Linked DNA regions of Caenorhabditis elegans. The protein of the gene in region 4 interacts with the protein of the main gene of each other region in a pairwise test. Each region holds a gene or a part of one and is shown on either strand. Other genes may lie near its edges.

Region 1 (4,822 bases), 1.3 Mb from region 4:
TCGGCAAATTGCCGGAATTAAAAATTACCGGGAAATGGGCAAATCGGCAAATTGTCAGCGGAATTCAACTTTCCAGAAAATCGAAAAATTGCCGGAGTTGAAAATTATCGGCAAATCGGCGAATTGGCGGCAACTTTTCATATCCGCCAATTTGCCGATTTGCCGAAAAGTTTCAATTTTGGCAGTTGCCGATTTGCCAAAAAGTTTCAATTTTGGCATTTGCCGATTTGCCGGAAATTTTGAAATCAGGCAATTTGCCGATTTACCGATAGGCCGAGCATTTTCAAATCCGGCAATTTGCCGATTTGCCGGAAATTTCAACTCCGGCAGTTTGCCGATTTGTCGGAAATTCTATTTTCGGCAATTCTCCAATTTTCCGATAAGTTTCAATTTTGGCAATTGCCGATTTGTCCATTTGCCGGAAATTGTCCAATCCGGCAATTTGCCGATTTTCCGGAAATTTCAATTTCGGCAGTTTGCCGATTTGCCAAAAAGTTTCAATTTTGGCAATTGTCGAATTGCCGGAAATTTTGAAATCAGGCAACTTGCCGGAAATTTTCAATTCCGGCAATTTTCAATTCACGCAGTTTGCCGATTTGCCAAAAAGATTCAATTTTGGCAATTGTCGATTTGCCGGAAATTTTGAAATCAGGCAATTCGCCGATTTACCGATAGGCCGAGCATTTTCAAATCCGGCAATTTGCCGATTTGCCGGAAATTTCCACTCCGGCAGTTTGCCGATTTGCCGGAAATCAATTCGAAATACAACTCCCCAATTATTCCAGAATACCTCGAATGTATCAAACAAATGATCGCCACTGATATGAACAAATCGCGAAGCGAAGTGATGGCGGAGCTCGGCGAAAAAGTGTCAAAGGTGCTGCTCTACCAATTTGTGCGCGGAAATTTGGGTGAAGATGTGAACGGAAAAGCTCATTGGATATGCAATCTGAATGTTATCGATGAGACATACATTTATCTGCTCAGCCACGACATTCGGTTCGGAGTTTTCGATGGTCCGACTCTGTTCCAGCGGGCTCCTGGCTCGGGATTCCTTCCGGCGGCTCATAAGAATCGAGTAGAGAAAATGTTCCCAATGGTAAGGAAATATAAGGTTTTCGACTAGTTTGATCTTTAAAAATGGCGGGAAAATAATCTAGAAGGGTGTGAAGACAAGCAATAGGCTAAAAATCGATAAATTTTGAAAAATAAGCTCAAAAATTCAAATTCACAGGTGCAATTCGCCGAAACTGCCTGGTCGAACCACTGGATTCATGCTGATGACCCGAAATTCTTTGTCGACTCGATTTGCGAGTTCCTGGAGGAACCTGATCAGCTTGGAATGAGAGCTTACATTTAAATTATGAAATTTGACATGGAATTCCAGCAGTTTTAGCAGTTTTTCCTCAATTTATTCGATAAATTTCTTGAATTTTACATAATTCGTTTATAATAAATGGGTTTTCTCTTATTATTCGTTTGAAAAATTGCGTTTTTGGCCTGCAAAAATATTCTAATTTGAATCTCCCTCGCTTTTCACGAAACGCGCCAACCAGTGGTTGCTGGCGCGTTTCTCGTGAGCTTGCGCGAACGCTGCGCATTTCTTTTTTTCTCATTTCTCATCTTTTCTGCGTAAAATTATCCAATTTTTCTCTTTTTTTTTAAATTTTTCACGCCAAATTAAGAATTTGCTTACGTGGCAATCGTTTGAACCGCCTAAAAAAAAGCCCGTTATTTTCGTCGAAAATCATGTTGTCGCCGAGTTGGTGTTTTATCGATTTTTTTCCACCGAAAATTTTCGATTTTCAGAGCAAAATATGCCGTTGGAAAGCGGAAAATTGATCAATGACTTGCGTGTTAGTGAATTGAAGGTAAGTGAATCATTTTTTCCACTGGAAATTCCCTATAAAATGCACTTTTTGCAGACAGAGCTCGAGAAGCGTGGTTTGAGTACTCAAGGAGTCAAGGTTGTGCTCACTGTTCGTTTGAATAAGGTAAAAATGTGTGATGTATTTATTTATCGTCGAATCTCCTGTCAAAATTGAAAAATTACAAAAAAAAACAATTTATTTGAAAAATGCAATAAAAGTCCACGTTGCTAGTTGCTACCAGTGTCCGATGGAGGGCAAAGCTGCAAAAAAATCGATATATAAATTCGGTTTCCCACCAATTGAAAGCGATACTTCTCGAATTTCCGGCCCAACTTTCCCGGAAAAAAGAAAAAGGGCTCCCCTCCCCCCATAAATTGTGCATTCTATTCACCACTTGTGTGATCAAATTAGCGTCTCAAAATGCATAGAAAAAGGGCGCTGGCTAATGAGATGAACGGAACTTGAAGAAGAATTGGCTGCTTTTTTTCCGGCGAAAATCCATTTCCAACGGCTCAGACATTTTCGAGCTCCCCTTGTGAGCACACACGTTCCGGTGGAAGAGCACGTAAAAGCGGGGGGAAAAGAAGATGAAGCCGCCCGTGATTTGATTTGAAGGGAAAATTGGAAGAAGAAGAAGAAGGAAAAAGCTTTTAAGCGGATAGAGACAAAGTTCCCTTTTGTTCACCTCACCAACTTCCGGGAAAAGTGGCGTTACTGGACGAATTGTGGGGGTTTCTACAAGCTAATGCAATGAAAATGACGAATTTTGAAGGAAAAATCAACTAATTTGATGTTAGCAGGGAAATTTTCCGACGTTTAGTGTTTTTTTTTTCACAAAAAAAATGATTTCCTAACATCAAATTAGACCAATTTCAATTCAAAATTCGATATTCTCAGCTCTAACTTTTTTCATCGTCAATTTCCTACCTTTGGCTGTCGATGGAAAACAAATTGAGAATGATGAATAAATTGCGAGTCATCTTTCGCCGCATGTTTTGGCATCTCGGACGGCGCAAATGTGTTGGAATGAATAAGTCGGTAGCCGGAAGACGCGAGTTGGTCGAACGCTTTCTCTAAGTTGCTGTGTTTTAGGAAGAATCTGGAAAGAGAGGATTGGGTTGAAGCTTTGAAATCTGGTTAACTTGTCATTTGGTAGTGCTGAAATACCAATCGTTCTGCTCAAATATTATGTTTCAAAAAGAGCTTATGAGCTCTTCTTGTGAAACTGTCGATTTCCGCTAGTGTACTCCCCCGTGTGGTGTGATCTACAAAAAATGCGGATATTTTTCCCCAAAAAAATTTCACGTCAGCACGCATTTTTTGTAGATCAAACGGAGACGGAACATTTTTTAATGGTTCAGAAATCAGCTATTATAGCTAGAAACTGTAAATTTCGCGTAAATCTACATGACGGGTTTTCAGTATTTCTGGCCGCGAAAAAGCCTGTCTCTACCTAGAAGTGTAGCGATCCATCTCGAAATCCGTGCCTCCTCCGTCTCTACACTCGTTCAACGAATCGCCGAACACTGCTCGGCACATGATTACTTTTCCGGATACGACGATTCGTAGAACCTGAAAATATCCTTTTTCTCGACGTCAAAAATGATGAGCATTTGTCTGTGTGTGTCTCTCTTCTCTTAACATACATATTCCCCTATTGCTGTATTCATAAGCAATAATAGGGGAAAATTGATGGGAGAAAACCGCAAGAGAAATGAACAGAAAAAAGGAAAAAAAAACGAGAGCAGGAAAAATGGGCTTGTTGTTGTTCCCTTTACTGGTTCGGGATTTGATGACGCGAAAGCTTTTCCTGTTGTTTTTTGAGCCATAAAATGGATATTGTGTACCTTTCGAAACGTGACTTCTGGATTGATACGTCCGGTTGAGAGAGCCGCATGACAAGAGATGCTAATGGTTGACGGGCAGGCGGCCTCCACAAATGAAATGAGCCCAAGACGTTTGGCCTGGAATAAAGAGCAGCGATTCTTGGTTTCGGTGCATTTCCTGCTTTATCGTGAACACACGTGATGCCAGGCTGTCCCATCACGGTTTGATCTACAAAAAATGCGGGAATTTGTTGTCCAAAAATATGTGGCATCAGCACGTTCTTAACCATACGAAATCAGTTGAGAATTCTGTGTCTCTTCTCCCGCATTTTTTGTAGATCTATGTAGATCAATCCCATATGAGACACTCTGACACCACGCGTGAACGTTCAATTTTCCCACGGCAAGATTATGCCAAGATCTTATTCTGCGTTCAAGGATGATCGAATTCACTACCAGAAAGCTTAATAGTGTGTTCCCCAAGTAAACGATAATTTTTTTTTGAAATTTTGTCCTAAAATATCCAAAATAGGAGTTTTGAGACAATTTTGAGCATTTTTGAGCATTCTAGCTCCCATTTTCGCCAATCAATCTGGTAATTGAGCTTAGGGGGAATTTTTATGCTGGGGAACGAAAAGCTAAATTATGCATTTCCACGGTGAAATGCTCATTATCCTAATTGAGCTCCATCTAGAAATGACAGAATTATGGGATTTTTTTAAATCTCGTATAGCTCTTTCTCATTTCGGAATCCATAAATCCAAAGCAGCCGAGCTCTTACAAAAAGCTTCCATTAACTGCTCGCGGAGCCCATAGACTCACCTCAACGGCCAATCGGGCCCACTGATCGAAAGATTCGGAGACGATAATGCTCATGTCACTGCGACGAAGCGCCTCGACGAGGATCCGCACAATCTTGTCATCTGAATCAGACGTTGCGTCGGGCGAAGTGGCGAGCAACGATTGTGGAGCACGTTGAAGTGTGGCACGAGTCGTTGAAATTGTTGCTCCGTGAGCACAAATAATTTGTGCAACTTGCATGTATGTGTGTGTGCGTTCACTTCTTCGTTTATCTCTAGTGTTTGTTAGCAGAAAGAAAGAAGAAGAATAGGAGGCAAAAGAGGA
Region 2 (4,163 bases), on a different chromosome or scaffold from region 4:
CAATTCCGTCCGGAAACGGTTGAGCTCCGGTAAGGAAGACCACCACGTGGTTTATCGCGTCAGCGTTTACAATTTCGCAGGTGAACTCCGTATCGGAGACCGGCACCACTTCGATCGGCGTCCTCCCTGAGACAATGACTCCAAAAATTCCAGACATTTTTAGTTTTTACTCTGAAAATATATCAATTTCTCAGCTCGCTGTCGTCCAGATCCAGATAAACATTTTTGTAAAGTTGAGACTTTTTTATTATTTTGGTTAAAAACAGCTTGAAAATTAAGCCAATTTGGTGTCAAACTCTGCATTCATTCTCTAGTTGAATGGATGTCAACTGTGCGAATTTAGAAATAAATTATATAAAAAAGACAGGGTAAAAAATTGAATAATAAACGAAACTTTCTGGAGAAAGGCAACAAGAAAAAGTACAGAAGATTTTGATGAGATAGCAGAGCAAAAATGGTTGAGAAGATCGATACAGAGGAGAGAGCACGGGAAGCTCAGACACGTTGGACACTTAGAGGGGCTTAAGGAATTAATTTAATAGTTTCTGTTTCCTCCTTGAGCATGAGCCCACTGCTGAGCACCGGATTGACCTCCCCAGCCGCCTTGCTGCTGGCCTTGGCCTCCCCAGCCACCGCCGCCGCCTCCTTGTTGAGGACCTCCCCAGCCTCCTTGCTGCTGTTGCTGTGGTCCTCCCCATCCGCCTTGACCGCCGCCGCCTTGCTGTCCCCAGCCACCACCTCCTTGCTGCTGTTGTGGGCCTCCCCATCCGCCTTGACCGCCGCCTCCTTGCTGTCCCCAGCCACCGCCGTAATCTGAAAGTTAATAATATTAGAATCGAGAATTCACAAGCCAGAATCCAACTACCTCCGCCATATCCTCCTTGGCCGCCACCTCCTGGTCCACCATATGCTCCTGGACCGCCGCGTTGAGCTGGTCCTCCCCAGCCGCCGCCGCCACCACCACCGCCATTGTAACCGCCACGCTGTCCATCGCGAGATCTTCCGCCACGGGTTTCACGATCGCGGTTCATCTGAGCCTTGCTCATCTCGTCCTTGGAGAGTCCTTTGCGCACGTCACATCTGTGTCCGTTGACCATATGGGATTTTTGAAGAACGCATTGATCCACAGAGTCATGATCATCGAAGGTGACGAATCCGAAGCCTCTTGGCTTTTGGGTGGCTTTGTCGAGAATAATCTCGGATTTGGTGACGGTTCCATACTTTGTGAAATACTCGGTGAGCATGTCCTCGGTGTGATCCTCACGAACTCCGCTGACGTACAGGCGTTTGGTGGAGACATTCGACTCGGAGCGGTTCTTATCATCACGTGGCACGGCACGCTTCGGGTCCACGGTCTTTCCGTCGATGATGTGCGGGCGTTGTTTCATGGCAGCATCGACTTCAGTTTTGCCAGAGAAGGTGACAAATCCGAATCCGCGGGATCTCTTGGTAGTTGGATCTCTCATGACGATGATATCAGTGATTTCTCCGAATTGTGAGTAGAACTCTCGCATCAGGTCATCGGTGGTGTTTGACGTGAGTCCTCCAACGAAAATCTTTCGAAGGTTCTCTGGCTCGAGCGAGGCATCTCCGCTTCCATTCTGAAAATAAAATCGATAATTAAATGATCGGGACCCAAATCAGGTGGCCTACACCCTAAAAGCAAGTGAACAAACGTAACCTCAGCCTTGATTTCCACGTCCGTCATGATCTAGTTCTTAGTAGTCGATCGGATTGTGCTAACAAGTAGTTCTTAGCTTATGAAGTAGGAAATAGACAGGCTAGTTTCACGGTGTAACTACCTATCGAACGCTATTACTCACAAAGAGTGACAGAGGTGTTGATCACTGAAATAGGTACAAGTTAGAGTAAAGATAAATCTAAAAATAGATTATTAAGTTAAATATAGACGCCATGCACGAGTAGACTATTCGTGGAAAATAACAAATCGATAAATATCTGAGAAATAAGACTATTTTAGCGAGTTTTATTCGTATTTAATCAAAGATTACGGATAAATTCGAGCTAAAACTACACAACAATTAGATTATCTGAATTAAAATGAAGAATTACGCGAAAACAGTGCGCGGAAAACCTGTAAAACATACCTTTTTGTGACGAAAACCGAGAGAGAATGCTCTCGAAAACCACAGAGAAAAGGGTTACACGCGACGCGCCGCATTCCTAACCGCGTCGCGTCGCGTCTGTTCGCGGCGAGACCCGAGTCGATAAATGTGTGTGCCTTTAAGAAAAAAAGGAGGGAAACTTTATTTTTTGAATTTAGTTAAATTTTTACAAATTAAAAAAATAACTTTTAAAAAGTATTTTCAATACCAAATTCCAATTTTGGAATTTTTGTTTAAAAAACGTTAAAATTCTTCTACAAATTTTAAGAAAAATATTTCTACAAATTTTTATGAAAATCAACTAGTTTATAATGGCTTTTCGGATTTTTCACAAGGAAGATGAACATTTTGATTTCTTTGACATTTTTTCACGAAAAAAACGTTCAAATAATCTTTGAATCCTTTATTTTTCTCGAAATTCTCACGATTTCTTATGAAAAATAATGTTTTAATTTATAATTAATGTGGTACTGTAGGGATACTGTTGGTTTACTGTAGTTTAGGAAAAATGTAGTTCTTAGCTGTTGAAGAGATATATTGGGCTGGGAGTTGGGCGAGGAAAAATAATGTCAAGGTACATACAGTAGTGGGATAATGCAGGATTACGGTAGGACTACTGTAATTTGGAAATTTTTTATACCATGTGATTTTTCTGAAACAGAAGCATCCCAGCGCTGCGCAGAAAAAAGAGATATTCATACCTGTTTTAGGTTTATAAAAATATTATACTGGTAAGACTAGGGCTGTCATATTTGGCGTCCGGTCGTCCGGTTTTGACAGGTTATCAATAGACTTTAATAATTTTCCAAAATTTTCAAACATCTAAAACCAGACGCACAAGGTTCTGACGCCGGACGTCCGATATGCCAGCCGTAGGTAAGACTGGTTAAATATGAAACAACGATTTACTTAAGTAACAGAAAAAGGTTTGATAGACATGTAAACGTATTAGAGCAACCATTGAAACTTCACCATCCATCTTGCCTTTGACGTATACGCTCGTGGATTGGCCGTTCGTCTCTACGACGTGGTGGATTAGCTCCCTTGTGCTTGTGGATTTCAAGCTTGTTTTTTGTTATATTGATCACAAAACTGGAATCAGTTCCCACCGGTCTGAACTCTCTTCCTCTATAAATTAATAGGTGATTCGGCGTAAAGACGTTCTCAATGGCTTCTTTTTCAAGTAGTTGAACATCGATAGTTGCTGACTCGAAGCTGGGCGATCTGAGGAGAATCTGGAATATAGAATACATTACAAAACGCTACTTTAACTACCAACTCACATCTCTTATCTGAACAGCATCATCGATTGATAGAGTCTGAAGACCGATGGAGAACTGGTCAAAGTGGAAAAATCTTTGAATAGGAATGTTCATTCTACCACCAATGCACAGAAAATGTTTCGCTTGCTTCCACTGCTCGAGATTTGCAATTTCTTCACTCATCTCCTGGCTAGCTGAGCAATAACAAGAATACATGCGGATTTTCTCGAGATAACCTGGGCGAAAGTACTTCACCATCGAAATATTGTCCACAAAGTCGATTCCAGTCACTTCAAGCACCTTCGCATGTGGTAAGTTCATAGCCTTGAAGCAGTCATCCACAGATTGCATATTCTCTTTCCCAGATAACCCAACCAGTCCATATGTGTTATCAAAACTGAACTTTCTTAGTCTAAGTTTCGGCATGCCCATCACGTCGGATAGCTCACCGAAGGCTGCCCTCATCAGCCTGTTACTACCAGTGACTTCTTGCCAGGCAGCCAGGTTTTCTAGATTCAATTCTCTATATCCGGTAAAAACTACACTACGGACTGGCAGAACTGAGTAAATGAATTTTCTCAATGCCTGGATCCATCAAATCGATGGTTTGGCGAAAGAGTGGTGACACATGGCGAGCGACTATGCTGAAATTGTAAATTTAGAATGCCATAGATTTTTTTTTGTTAGGCACATACAACTGACAATCTCTTGAACAACACTATATGAATACGACTTTTCTGGTTTTGGTCTGAAAAGAAATTCAGGTATAATTAAA
Region 3 (4,320 bases), on a different chromosome or scaffold from region 4:
CTCGATTCACATTAAGACTTAAGTGGCTACAGAAGGGTACTTTCGACGCAAAGTGGGGAGAATTCGAATGGGTCCTCAAGGTATGGATTTATTTAAAATTAATTGAATGAAAATTATTAAAAATTTCAGAGACACGAAATGGAAACCAGTCGTCGTCGTTTCTTCCTCTGATTACTATTATTCGTTTTTCAAAGGTTGCAAAAAAATTCGAAGCCCCAATTTTATCCTTACTAAGGTTTTTGAAGTTTTGAACAAATATCTCAATCTCTCCCATGCAACCCTATCATCTTTGTTACTGCTTTTATTTTGTTGTTTTGTTGATGTTATTGAATAATATAATTTGATGCAATTTTTTTAAACTGTTACCTCTAAGGTTTCTGACCGATAATTATCTATTCTGATGATATTTTATTATTATATATATTCGCAGAATTTATTCAGGTTCTGACCATGTTGGGGAACAAATTCGTTGCTCAGTTGGCTCTGCAGCACCTCCGCAATCGAGGACTCGTCAATTCCCCATCTCGTCTGACTTTTGTTCGGTAAATTTTCTTTCCGAATAGTATAGATTTATTTTTTATTCTAGAAATCGATTTGCTTGGGGATCTGATGCTGTTGGTCCAAATGTTCCAGTTGGAGGAAAGATGGGAGCTTCGGAGAATCCAGAATTGCACACCTATGATGGAGACTACCGCGGTACCATCTCGAAGGGGGATAAGCCAATTCCAGATTACTTCTACCGTACTCCAACAACTGGTCGAACCTACATCGATCGTTGTGTAACCTATTTCATCTCAGCTGTCATTTGGGCGTGGTTCTCGTACCACATGTACTATCATTCTGGCCATCTCTTGGGACATTGGTACATGCCATACTTGAGCGAGTTCACGGATGAAGAGCTCGGAATTCCAAAGGATTCTGCCGAAGATCCAGAATACTGGGGCAACCACAAGAAAGAATATGGAACTTATCGATAAATAGTTGACAGAATGTTTTTAGTTCATTCATAGTCTCATTCTTCTTGAAACGACTTGACTTTTATTTTTAACCGTTTCCTGTATGCCTGATTGTAATTCAATAAAGTGGCTTCGAATACGAACATTTTAAAAATATAATTATTTATTTCTAATCTATAACCAAATAACCTAAACTATTCCAAGGTCCGGCACATTGTCTCGTGGACGATAAACTCGCTCTTCTTGGTAGGAAAGAACCTGAAAAAAGACGAATGAAAAACTATTTCGAGCGGAAATTTAGTCTTACAACTTGTTTTTTCGCTTGAAGAGTAGGATCTAGCCTTCCTTCTTGTTCTTGTATCTTCCACATAAACCGATTTACTGGATGTTTGTCGCCTTTCCACCACCTGAAATAAGTATTTCAGTTAAAAATGAATCAATTACAATGTTTTATTACCGGACTCCAACATTGTACATTACTATGTAGAGAAGCGTTGAAGCTACAATTGCAGGACCAGTTCTTTTCATAGGATATGACAGAATTTTGTGGAATCTGAAAGTTAATAATTTTAATTTTAACGCTGGTGAACAACACTTACTTTATTTTCCAATTGGCTTTCCCTGTCGGTTTTGAACTCATCACCACATTTTTGTCACCTTCCATGTTTGAATAATAGTCAATTGTCAAGTTTCAGAGAATAAAATGATCATTAATGGGCAAAAGAAGGTTTTTTTTGTAATTCAGAGACGCCTAGTTTCTGAGAGGTACGGTGTGAAAATGTGTGCATATGTGCGTCATGGTGTTTGCACACCATTTGTGTAATTAATTTACAAGATTTTTGCTCGGAGATTTTTGGCTCAATTTATTGGTTTTATTGATTAAAAATAGATACAAATAATTCATTATTTTAGTAAATTTGTTATTATTTCAAATATATCTGTTTCCAGTCACTAAATGGCCGACGAAACGCCGAAGGTTAAAACAGAACCTGCGGCCGAGGTTAAATCACCCTTGGATGAAGTTAAGGAAATTCGAAAAGAGGCAGAACTGGTAAGTTAATAATAATTCGTACAGTTGCTAATATCCCATGTTCATGTTTTCCAGACACAAACTGGGAGTGACGAAAAGAAAACCACGGACCCGGAATTCATCACAGTACAAGATCCAAATGGAGATGAGCCAATAGAACTTCCTACCGTTGATGGTGTTGTCTTGATGACTACATTGCAAGCATCGTTTCCGGGTGCTACTGGTTTGAAGTACAAAAATCCAAAAACTGGAGCCAACCGAGCTGTTCAGTGAGTGCTTGGTGGAGGTATACTGACTTAAAATTTATTTTATTTTCCAGAGTCGATCCCAGTGGTTTGAAATTAATTGCTCCAGCTGACGGCTGGGAAAATAAAACGTTCTTCGTTATTGTTGCCCCGCGTAAGTTGTTTTTGTTTTATATTAACTAGTTTCACCAAAATTCAAGCTTTTGAGTAGAGACGGTTTATGTGACAGTCTGAGTGAAGACGTTCGAGTGACGTAGTGTGATTCAGAGAGCGAGAGAGTCAGAGCGTTGTCATCAGCTGACGCGACGAGTGCGAAGAGACGTAAAGTGGGATCGAGTGACGACTCGGATTCGGATGACGGTCGTGACGGACGTTCGGGCAGGAAGAGAGCGGTTGAGAGAGACAGCCAGCCAGTTGACCTCATCGTGCTCGGTGTGGACTTCAAAACGACTGACGAGTGCTTTCAGAAATACTTCGAAGATATAGGAACTGTTGTGTTCTGTGAGGTTCGTGAGATGAGTGAAGGAATCTGAAAGTGAGAGAATTAAGTTCACATAGGTTCCATTAAAAATACATATTCAATATTCTTCTTCAGATAAAACGAAAGTCGGATGGAAACTCAAAAGGATTTGGATTTGTCAGAATGTCATCAGTCGGTGAACAAAATAAAGTATTAGCTATCCCACAGCACATGATTGATGGTCGTCGTTGTGATGTGAAAGTTCCAGATGGAAGGGTATGTTATTATACTGATCAATTAAAACTAATAAGTTGAGCAGAGTTTGCAGGACAAACAAGGTCGTCCATCAATCAGTCGAATTTTTGTCGGAAGGCTCACAGACAAAGTAGACGAACATCAACTGCGAAAAGTGTTTGGAGATGAAGCAAAAAGCTATATAGAGACTGCAGTAGTTACCGATGTGTTCATCCCAAAACCATTCAGAGGCTTTGCATTCGTTACGCTGTCGAGCGCCGAAGCCGCGGAAAGAATTGTCAGGTATTGCTAATTTTTTGGAAAACCTGTTAAAAATAACTGTCTCCGGTGTAGCATCACTTTTAAGCACTCATATTTTTCATTCTAGTAAGAAATATAATTTTCAGCAAAGGATCGCTAACTGTCAACGGTTTATCAGTTGGATTGAGCATCGCACAGCCTCGAGAAGAGAATAATCAATCAGTTGGCCCTGATTATGGCCTTCCAGCTGGCTACCGTAACCGCAGAGAACGTGATCGACCGGATAGACGACCGATTCAAAATGAAGCACCTCTGCCCATGCCATTCGTCCGCCCACCACAAGATTACTCATACCGTCAGCAAAATTCTCCCCTCGAGAGGAGATACTGGGCACCTGGAGACTCGAGAGGACCAGGATGGTGATTCTCTCGAAAAATCGTTATTATTCATATTTTTCTACACTTTTCTCAATTTTCTTGTCTGACAATTTGTCATTAGTATTGTTCTCTCACATTTACTAGACCCCTACAATTTTCATGTCGACGCACTTTGCGATTTTATGCTGTATTTTTAATAATGCAATTCTACAATCTCTGAATAAAAAACCTGAAATTAAATCGACTAAAAAACTAGTTCATTCTCAAGAATTGGTAAGACAAGAGGCACAAAAAGTTAGTAAGTTTCCGAGTATTCATTGCACAACATCTCAGAAACGTACTCCGAATTCACAAAGTATGGCGTCGTGTTCACAGAATTCTGGGCAACCTCGGAACTCGTGTTCACATATTTCGGCAGAAATGAAGCTTCAACTTTTTTAACGGCAATATGTTGAGGAACATCGAAAACGAAAATCTCGGACAAAGCATCAAGTTGGTACTGTGATGGGACACGAGCCAAACGAACAGTATTCTCTGCTGGCTTATAATTCAAATCAGCCAATTCATAATAACTTTGTGGACCATCACAATTGACACGTGTAGTTTCTGGATAAGCAATGGTGGATTGTTCAGTGATCCATTGACTTTGAACACTTTCAGTTTCTCTCAAACAATCCTCCCAACCATTATCCGATTCGGCACCCGTGATGACGTCATCAAAGCTCGACTTTTCATTCTTCTCAATTTCCAGAAGCAT
Region 4 (5,274 bases):
TTTTAACGGATATATCTAAAATTTTGAAACTACAGTACTCTTTGAGGCGCACACCCGTTTGTATTTAACAAAAAATTGTCGTGACGAGACCAGGAACGGTATTTTTGGTGCCAAAATTTTTTATTGCCGGTTTTGAAATAAAAACAATTAATTTTTAAAAAAATTGATATAACAGTACTCGTTATAAAGCAGAATTCAGAATCCTTCTCCAAAAGCCTCAAGGTACCGTAATCCAGAGAAAGGCGTCAAAAATGAAAACATAGACAAACGAAAGAAAGTTGTGAGCATACAAATAGACACACACAATGCTCATCATCGTTTTCTCAGCAACAAAGGATTCTTCATGGGCGTGACTATCTTTTGCTCATGAAGGAGAGAGACGTCTTCAAAACGCAATTAAGGGCATACGGTAAAACGTTTGAGCAGCAGTTGTCGCGCGCAAATCAGATTGCGTGAAGCTCTTGTTTGATGCGGGACACACATGCTAAATTGTCTTCTGAATAGCACCTCAAATTGTGCGGCGCTCATCTGAAGACACACTTGTCACGTCATTTATTATTAAAACTTTTATTTGTCACCATCCTGCCAGAGGAAAATATGAGAAATAGTTTTAGAGTGATGAAAATGAGGAAGATGTTTTAAATTATTGAGATTCCGTTGACAAGGAAGCCTTTTTAAAGGGATAAGGAAGGATAGAGATGGAGAAAAAACGGATAAAATAAAGATAATAGATGATGATTCAAGAGAAACGTGAGAAGTTTCAAATACAAATATAACAGGGGGAATGAATTAGGCGTAGTCAACGCTGATCATGCGGCCTTCGACAGTGGATCCATAGAGGGCAGCACGAGCACGTTCAGCGTCTTGGAAAGTTGCAAAACGAATGCGAGCAGCTCCTGGCGCCATCATATCAACAGAGTCGACTTCTCCGAAGTTTCGAACACGGTCACGGACAATTTGCCAGGTATAATCGCTTGGAAGCTGAATAACAGATCATAAATGAGAACAAATTGAAATTTGAATTGAAAACTTACGTTGCGAATGATAATAACCCTTGTTGCCTGGGGTGTCGCAGCACCGGCGAGTCCACCAGCTCCATTGACACCAAAGACGTCAGGTTGAGCAAATGTGGCTCCACCAGCACCACCAACACCAGCATTTCCTCCAAATGGTCCATTGTTCATGACGGATCGGGCAAAGTTGGCTTGTTCAACGACTCCTCCAAAACCACCAGCCGAAACAACTTGTGGTCCACCTACGAATGGGGCAGCTGGAGCTGTGAACTGAAATATAGATAATTAAATTAACTTTTAAAAATTTTATAATTGAGTATTTGTTATCAAGAGTTTCATCGAACATTTTTTGTGCTTTTTTCAGAGAAAGTTCCGTTTGTTCTGAAAATCGAAAAACATGTTTAGCAAATTGGAATATAAAAACCCATTTTTGTATTAAGTTTTCAGATTGTTGATGGGGAAAAACATAAGAAAACATATCGTTTTCTTATAAAAGGCCATTTTTCGAAAAATCAAAATGTTGGAAACCCGAAAATTTCTGTTTAAAAAAAATTAATTTTTCGATTTAAAAAAATCTAAAACCACCATTGAATGCTAGTATATACCACACCGATGAAATTTGTTTTAAATCGCTTACCGGCACTGAAGCATCTCCTGGGAACATTCCATGAACATTGGAAAGTGGTGCTCCTTCTGCTCCAAGACCCATTCCGATTGACTCAAGACCTCGTGGAAGTCCACCTTCTTTGTGCTCCAGTTCCTTATCGAATCTATCCATTTTCACAACCAGATTTCGATCAAAAAGTCGCTGACCATTGAGCATCGAAACGGCTTGTACGGCTTCAATTGGGTGAGTGTATTGAATTACGCATACTCCCTGGAAGACACCATTTATATTTTATAGGAACTATAAATATTAACAAACCTTTGACTTTCCTTCTTTATCAATGCGGAAGTCCATCCAGGTGATTTTACCGGCCATACCGAAGACTTCGTAAAGCTTATCGGTTCCGACATTGAAAGCCAACTGAAAATGTTTGATTAATAATATTGTCTTGGAAACAGAAGTGGAATTTCGGAAATTCTATAAAATGACATATTTCGCCATGTTAAATATAGAAAATCACTTTTTTAAATCTGAAAATAACACTTATTTCAGATAAAACACTTGGAAAAGCGCTTCAAAAATACCAGGATGTTGCAAATTGCCGATCATCAAATTGTTGAATTATCGTTTCTCGGCAAATGGCAACTTTTGGTCATTTTCGCGCACTTTTCCAAATGTTTAAAACGAGATAATTTTTTTTTAATTTTCAGATAAATCAAGTGATTATCTACATTTTCAGACTAATTTTTGATGAAAACTTTTGAAAAAAACATGTCGCAATAGGTCATTTTGTAGCATTTCCGAAAATAATTGCCAACCACCTCTGATTGGGAACTAAGAATGGTATTTAGTAACTGAATTAGTGATGCTATATTTTATTCGTATGATACTGAGAGATCTACCCGGAGGATGCAACTGTCTGAACAAACTATAATAAGCACTGATTCCATTTTGTTGTATATAATTCCACGTAGAAAGCTTCCTACTACTATTCCGTTTAAAAACACCAAAATGAAAAATTGCATTTATTTCTCCCATTCGAATAATTTCATATCTCAAAACTGAGATAAAGACCCAGCAAGTGAACGTGGTCTAGATGTGGAGCCCTTCGAGAAGAAGAATATTTGAAACCTACATTGGCGATGAAGATGCGCTCACAGAGTGGCGGTTCAATGTTGTGTTGGCGAAGGAATTCCATATTGAGACCGAATAAATCATAAGTTCCAGTTCGAGTAGGGCGATCAAGATCTTTTGGTGGAGGACCTCGTCCTCCTGCACCACCACCTCCGGTACGAGACAAGTAATCAATGCCTGTTTCAGTTTTGATGGTTCGGAAGAAAGCATTCGGATCCTACAGAAAAAATAAAAAATGGATGAAAATTTCTGAATGTGAGTGTCAAAATTAAATAGATACGGACCCGAATTTCTTTGGCGATGATGGTTCTTCCCTTCCAGTCGAACTTTTGTAGATTCTCAACGCATTTTTCGGCACCCTCACGAGTTTCGAACTCAACCACAGCGTTACCCTTTGGCTTGCCGTTACGGTCTTCGAGCAACTCGCAGAAAGCGACTTCACCTCCTTTCTCGCGAACTAGACTTTTCAAATCGACCCAACGAGCCTCATAGGCGATATTGGTGATAAAAACCATTCGGTTGTTCGATGATGAGTTCCCATTGTTACTTCCAACAGCAGCGCCGATACGACCTTAAGGAAATGGAAAATAGAGAAGGATTTCTATGGAAAAAATGGTGGAAACGGGAATGAAGAATATCAAAAACTATACTTCTTCTTGGACTTCTGGATCGGCTCCGACGCTCTCGCTTAACATCACGCTGTGGTCCGTCTCGACGATTTCTGTTCATGTTGGCTGATGGAACACGGATCTTGGATTAAGCTTTCTGAATGAGTTGAACTAGAATCAATTAGACGATAAGCAAATGTTTTCATATAACAACGGGCTTCTTTAAAAAACAATTGAAATTTTATTTCCATTTTGATTGCTAACAAGTCGAAAATTAATTGTAACTAAAATAATCTGCTCGCTGAGTGGCCCATTTTTATTGTTGAAAGAGATAAAAGATTATTTACTGAACTGTCTCGCCAATGTAATACTTGATTTGACATCGAATTGAAAAACTATGTTACAACAATGATCGAAAACTTATGCACAGATGAGTAAAAAGTTTTGTGATCGCACCTTATTTGCTTCTTTACTTACAAATAGGCCACTCGAGCAAAATTTGACTTGATATCTTACAGAAAGACTAGAATGCTCTAAACTCTCTTAAAATTCCCGAACCGAAAATTAAGTTTTCAAAAAGAGGAACAATTTCGAAATTTATCTATCGGAGCAATTCTCTGAAACATCTTGGAGATTTTCCGACTGATAATGCATATTTAAGCCGCGAGAACCATTTAGCAAATTTTAAAACAAAAAAACGTTTGATTTAACGAAGAAAATAAAGAAAAATAAATACGATAAAAGAGAGAAAAATCGAAATTCGAAAAGAAGAGACGGCGGCAAACACAAGTGTGCATTTGTGCGTCGAGACGAGCCGCACAGCCGACATCAGATTTGACGCCACAAATCGCCGCGAAAAGTGAAGGCTTTTTCTTTGCTGCTAAGCCAGTATTCTGGATCTTTTACGATTTTTTTTTCATTTTCGATAGCATGGTTCTGTGAAACAAGATCTCTGTTCTCTTTGAAACACTCTATTCTATAATTTATTTTATTCTTCAATTGTTTCTTCCATGTTTCCCTAAAAATAATTTTGTTCGTTAATTGTCAATAGGATTTTTATGAACTGAATTCAGTGTCAAATTTCGGAGAAAGAATAGAAAACGTTTTTTGTGAGATAAGCTGCCTCTCGTTTTGTTTTGCCTCCGCATGACAGATTTATTCTCAATTTCACACTAAAAATTATTAATAATTGTACAATTTAGTTTTGCTTCAAGTTCTATAACAACGCGTTTTTGTTTTTTTTTCACAATTCATGCGCTAGCTGTCCAAAAATATTCAAAATGTTTATAGAATAGGTGATTCAACACCAACATTTCAAACTATCGTTCACAAGTCACATTCCAAATGACTAACGTCCATATAAAGTTTCTGATATTGCTCCAATCGTCCCAAATGTCTTATCATATACACTTCATGACGTGTTTTCCCTATTCTTTCTCTTTTCCCGCCGATGACCATGTCTCTCCCTTCTATTCCTCTAGGTTTCACCATACGAATATCAAATCGTATATACATTTAAAAGCCGACGCCTTCTACCATGTCGAACAGTAATCGCATGGAACTAGTTAGTCTTTTCCCAATCGCCGTCATTTCCCTCACTTTTATTCCTTACACTAGATTTTATTATTGATAGAACTGAAATCTTGGTCTTATGTTAACGACAAAAATCGTGCCTCGTTTCATTTTAAATGCAAAACTACCTGCCGTTTATTGCCGCCGTCAAGAGAACAATTCGCACTAGGTTGAGAAGGGCAAAGGTCTTTTATGACCTTTTACGCCCGGGAAGTGAGAAATACCAGAAATCACCTTTTATTTCGATCTATAACTCGAACTTTTAATTTTTCATCTTTAACCAGTGTAGGTTTATTTATTGAATAGATTTGTGTTCCACTCATCTCTTCGGTCAACAGAT

Evidence for each region.
Region 1: the proteins of sup-46 (region 4) and phm-2 interact in a two-hybrid assay, tested with the Caenorhabditis elegans proteins (one large-scale study listed by BioGRID).
Region 2: the proteins of sup-46 (region 4) and hrpa-1 interact in a two-hybrid assay, tested with the Caenorhabditis elegans proteins (one large-scale study listed by BioGRID).
Region 3: the proteins of sup-46 (region 4) and tdp-1 interact in a two-hybrid assay, tested with the Caenorhabditis elegans proteins (one large-scale study listed by BioGRID).

What each region holds. Positions count from the first base shown.
Region 1 is NC_003279.8:11,515,749-11,520,570, forward strand, and holds the start of phm-2 (Pharyngeal muscle protein 2), read left to right. Parts: upstream 1-1,809; 5' UTR 1,810-1,817; coding exon 1,818-1,871; intron 1,872-1,925; coding exon 1,926-1,994; intron 1,995-1,999; exon of another isoform or gene 2,000-2,098; coding exon of another isoform or gene 2,099-2,131; intron 2,132-2,798; coding exon of another isoform or gene 2,799-2,970; intron 2,971-3,324; coding exon of another isoform or gene 3,325-3,443; intron 3,444-3,718; coding exon of another isoform or gene 3,719-3,835; intron 3,836-4,225; exon of another isoform or gene 4,226-4,354; intron 4,355-4,519; coding exon of another isoform or gene 4,520-4,738; exon of another isoform or gene 4,739-4,822. Other genes in the region: abhd-11.1 (AB hydrolase-1 domain-containing protein), read left to right, coding at 786-1,099, 1,235-1,360; F32B4.5 (KCTD8/12/16 H1 domain-containing protein), read right to left, coding at 2,099-2,131, 2,799-2,970, 3,325-3,443, 3,719-3,835, 4,520-4,738.
Region 2 is NC_003282.8:3,336,698-3,340,860, forward strand, and holds hrpa-1 (Heterogeneous nuclear ribonucleoprotein A1), read right to left. Parts: upstream 2,149-4,163; 5' UTR 2,109-2,148; intron 1,848-2,108; 5' UTR 1,709-1,847; coding exon 1,682-1,708; intron 1,602-1,681; coding exon 863-1,601; intron 814-862; coding exon 536-813; downstream 1-535. Other genes in the region: F42A6.6 (Hikeshi-like domain-containing protein), read right to left, coding at 1-157. UniProt on the Caenorhabditis elegans protein: This protein is a component of ribonucleosomes. Overexpression gradually increases telomere length, leading to increase lifespan.
Region 3 is NC_003280.10:8,995,923-9,000,242, forward strand, and holds tdp-1 (Tar DNA-binding protein homolog 1), read left to right. Parts: upstream 1-1,902; 5' UTR 1,903-1,911; coding exon 1,912-2,007; intron 2,008-2,061; coding exon 2,062-2,255; intron 2,256-2,305; coding exon 2,306-2,385; intron 2,386-2,488; exon of another isoform or gene 2,489-2,498; coding exon 2,499-2,737; intron 2,738-2,826; coding exon 2,827-2,967; intron 2,968-3,010; coding exon 3,011-3,228; intron 3,229-3,332; coding exon 3,333-3,609; 3' UTR 3,610-3,800; downstream 3,801-4,320. Other genes in the region: Brix domain-containing protein F44G4.1, read left to right, coding at 1-80, 130-171; ndub-2 (putative NADH dehydrogenase [ubiquinone] 1 beta subcomplex subunit 2, mitochondrial), read left to right, coding at 451-542, 587-977; F44G4.3 (uncharacterized protein), read right to left, coding at 1,146-1,214, 1,264-1,363, 1,414-1,509, 1,556-1,620; F44G4.5 (uncharacterized protein), read right to left, coding at 3,859-4,320. UniProt on the Caenorhabditis elegans protein: RNA-binding protein which regulates transcription, splicing and RNA-editing. Limits the accumulation of double-stranded RNA by maintaining the abundance of the mature RNA transcripts that are formed from double-stranded precursor RNAs.
Region 4 is NC_003279.8:10,169,085-10,174,358, forward strand, and holds sup-46 (RRM domain-containing protein), read right to left. Parts: upstream 3,520-5,274; 5' UTR 3,484-3,519; coding exon 3,405-3,483; intron 3,326-3,404; coding exon 3,039-3,325; intron 2,972-3,038; coding exon 2,756-2,971; intron 2,041-2,755; coding exon 1,939-2,040; intron 1,891-1,938; coding exon 1,651-1,890; intron 1,284-1,650; coding exon 1,035-1,283; intron 982-1,034; coding exon 790-981; 3' UTR 555-789; downstream 1-554.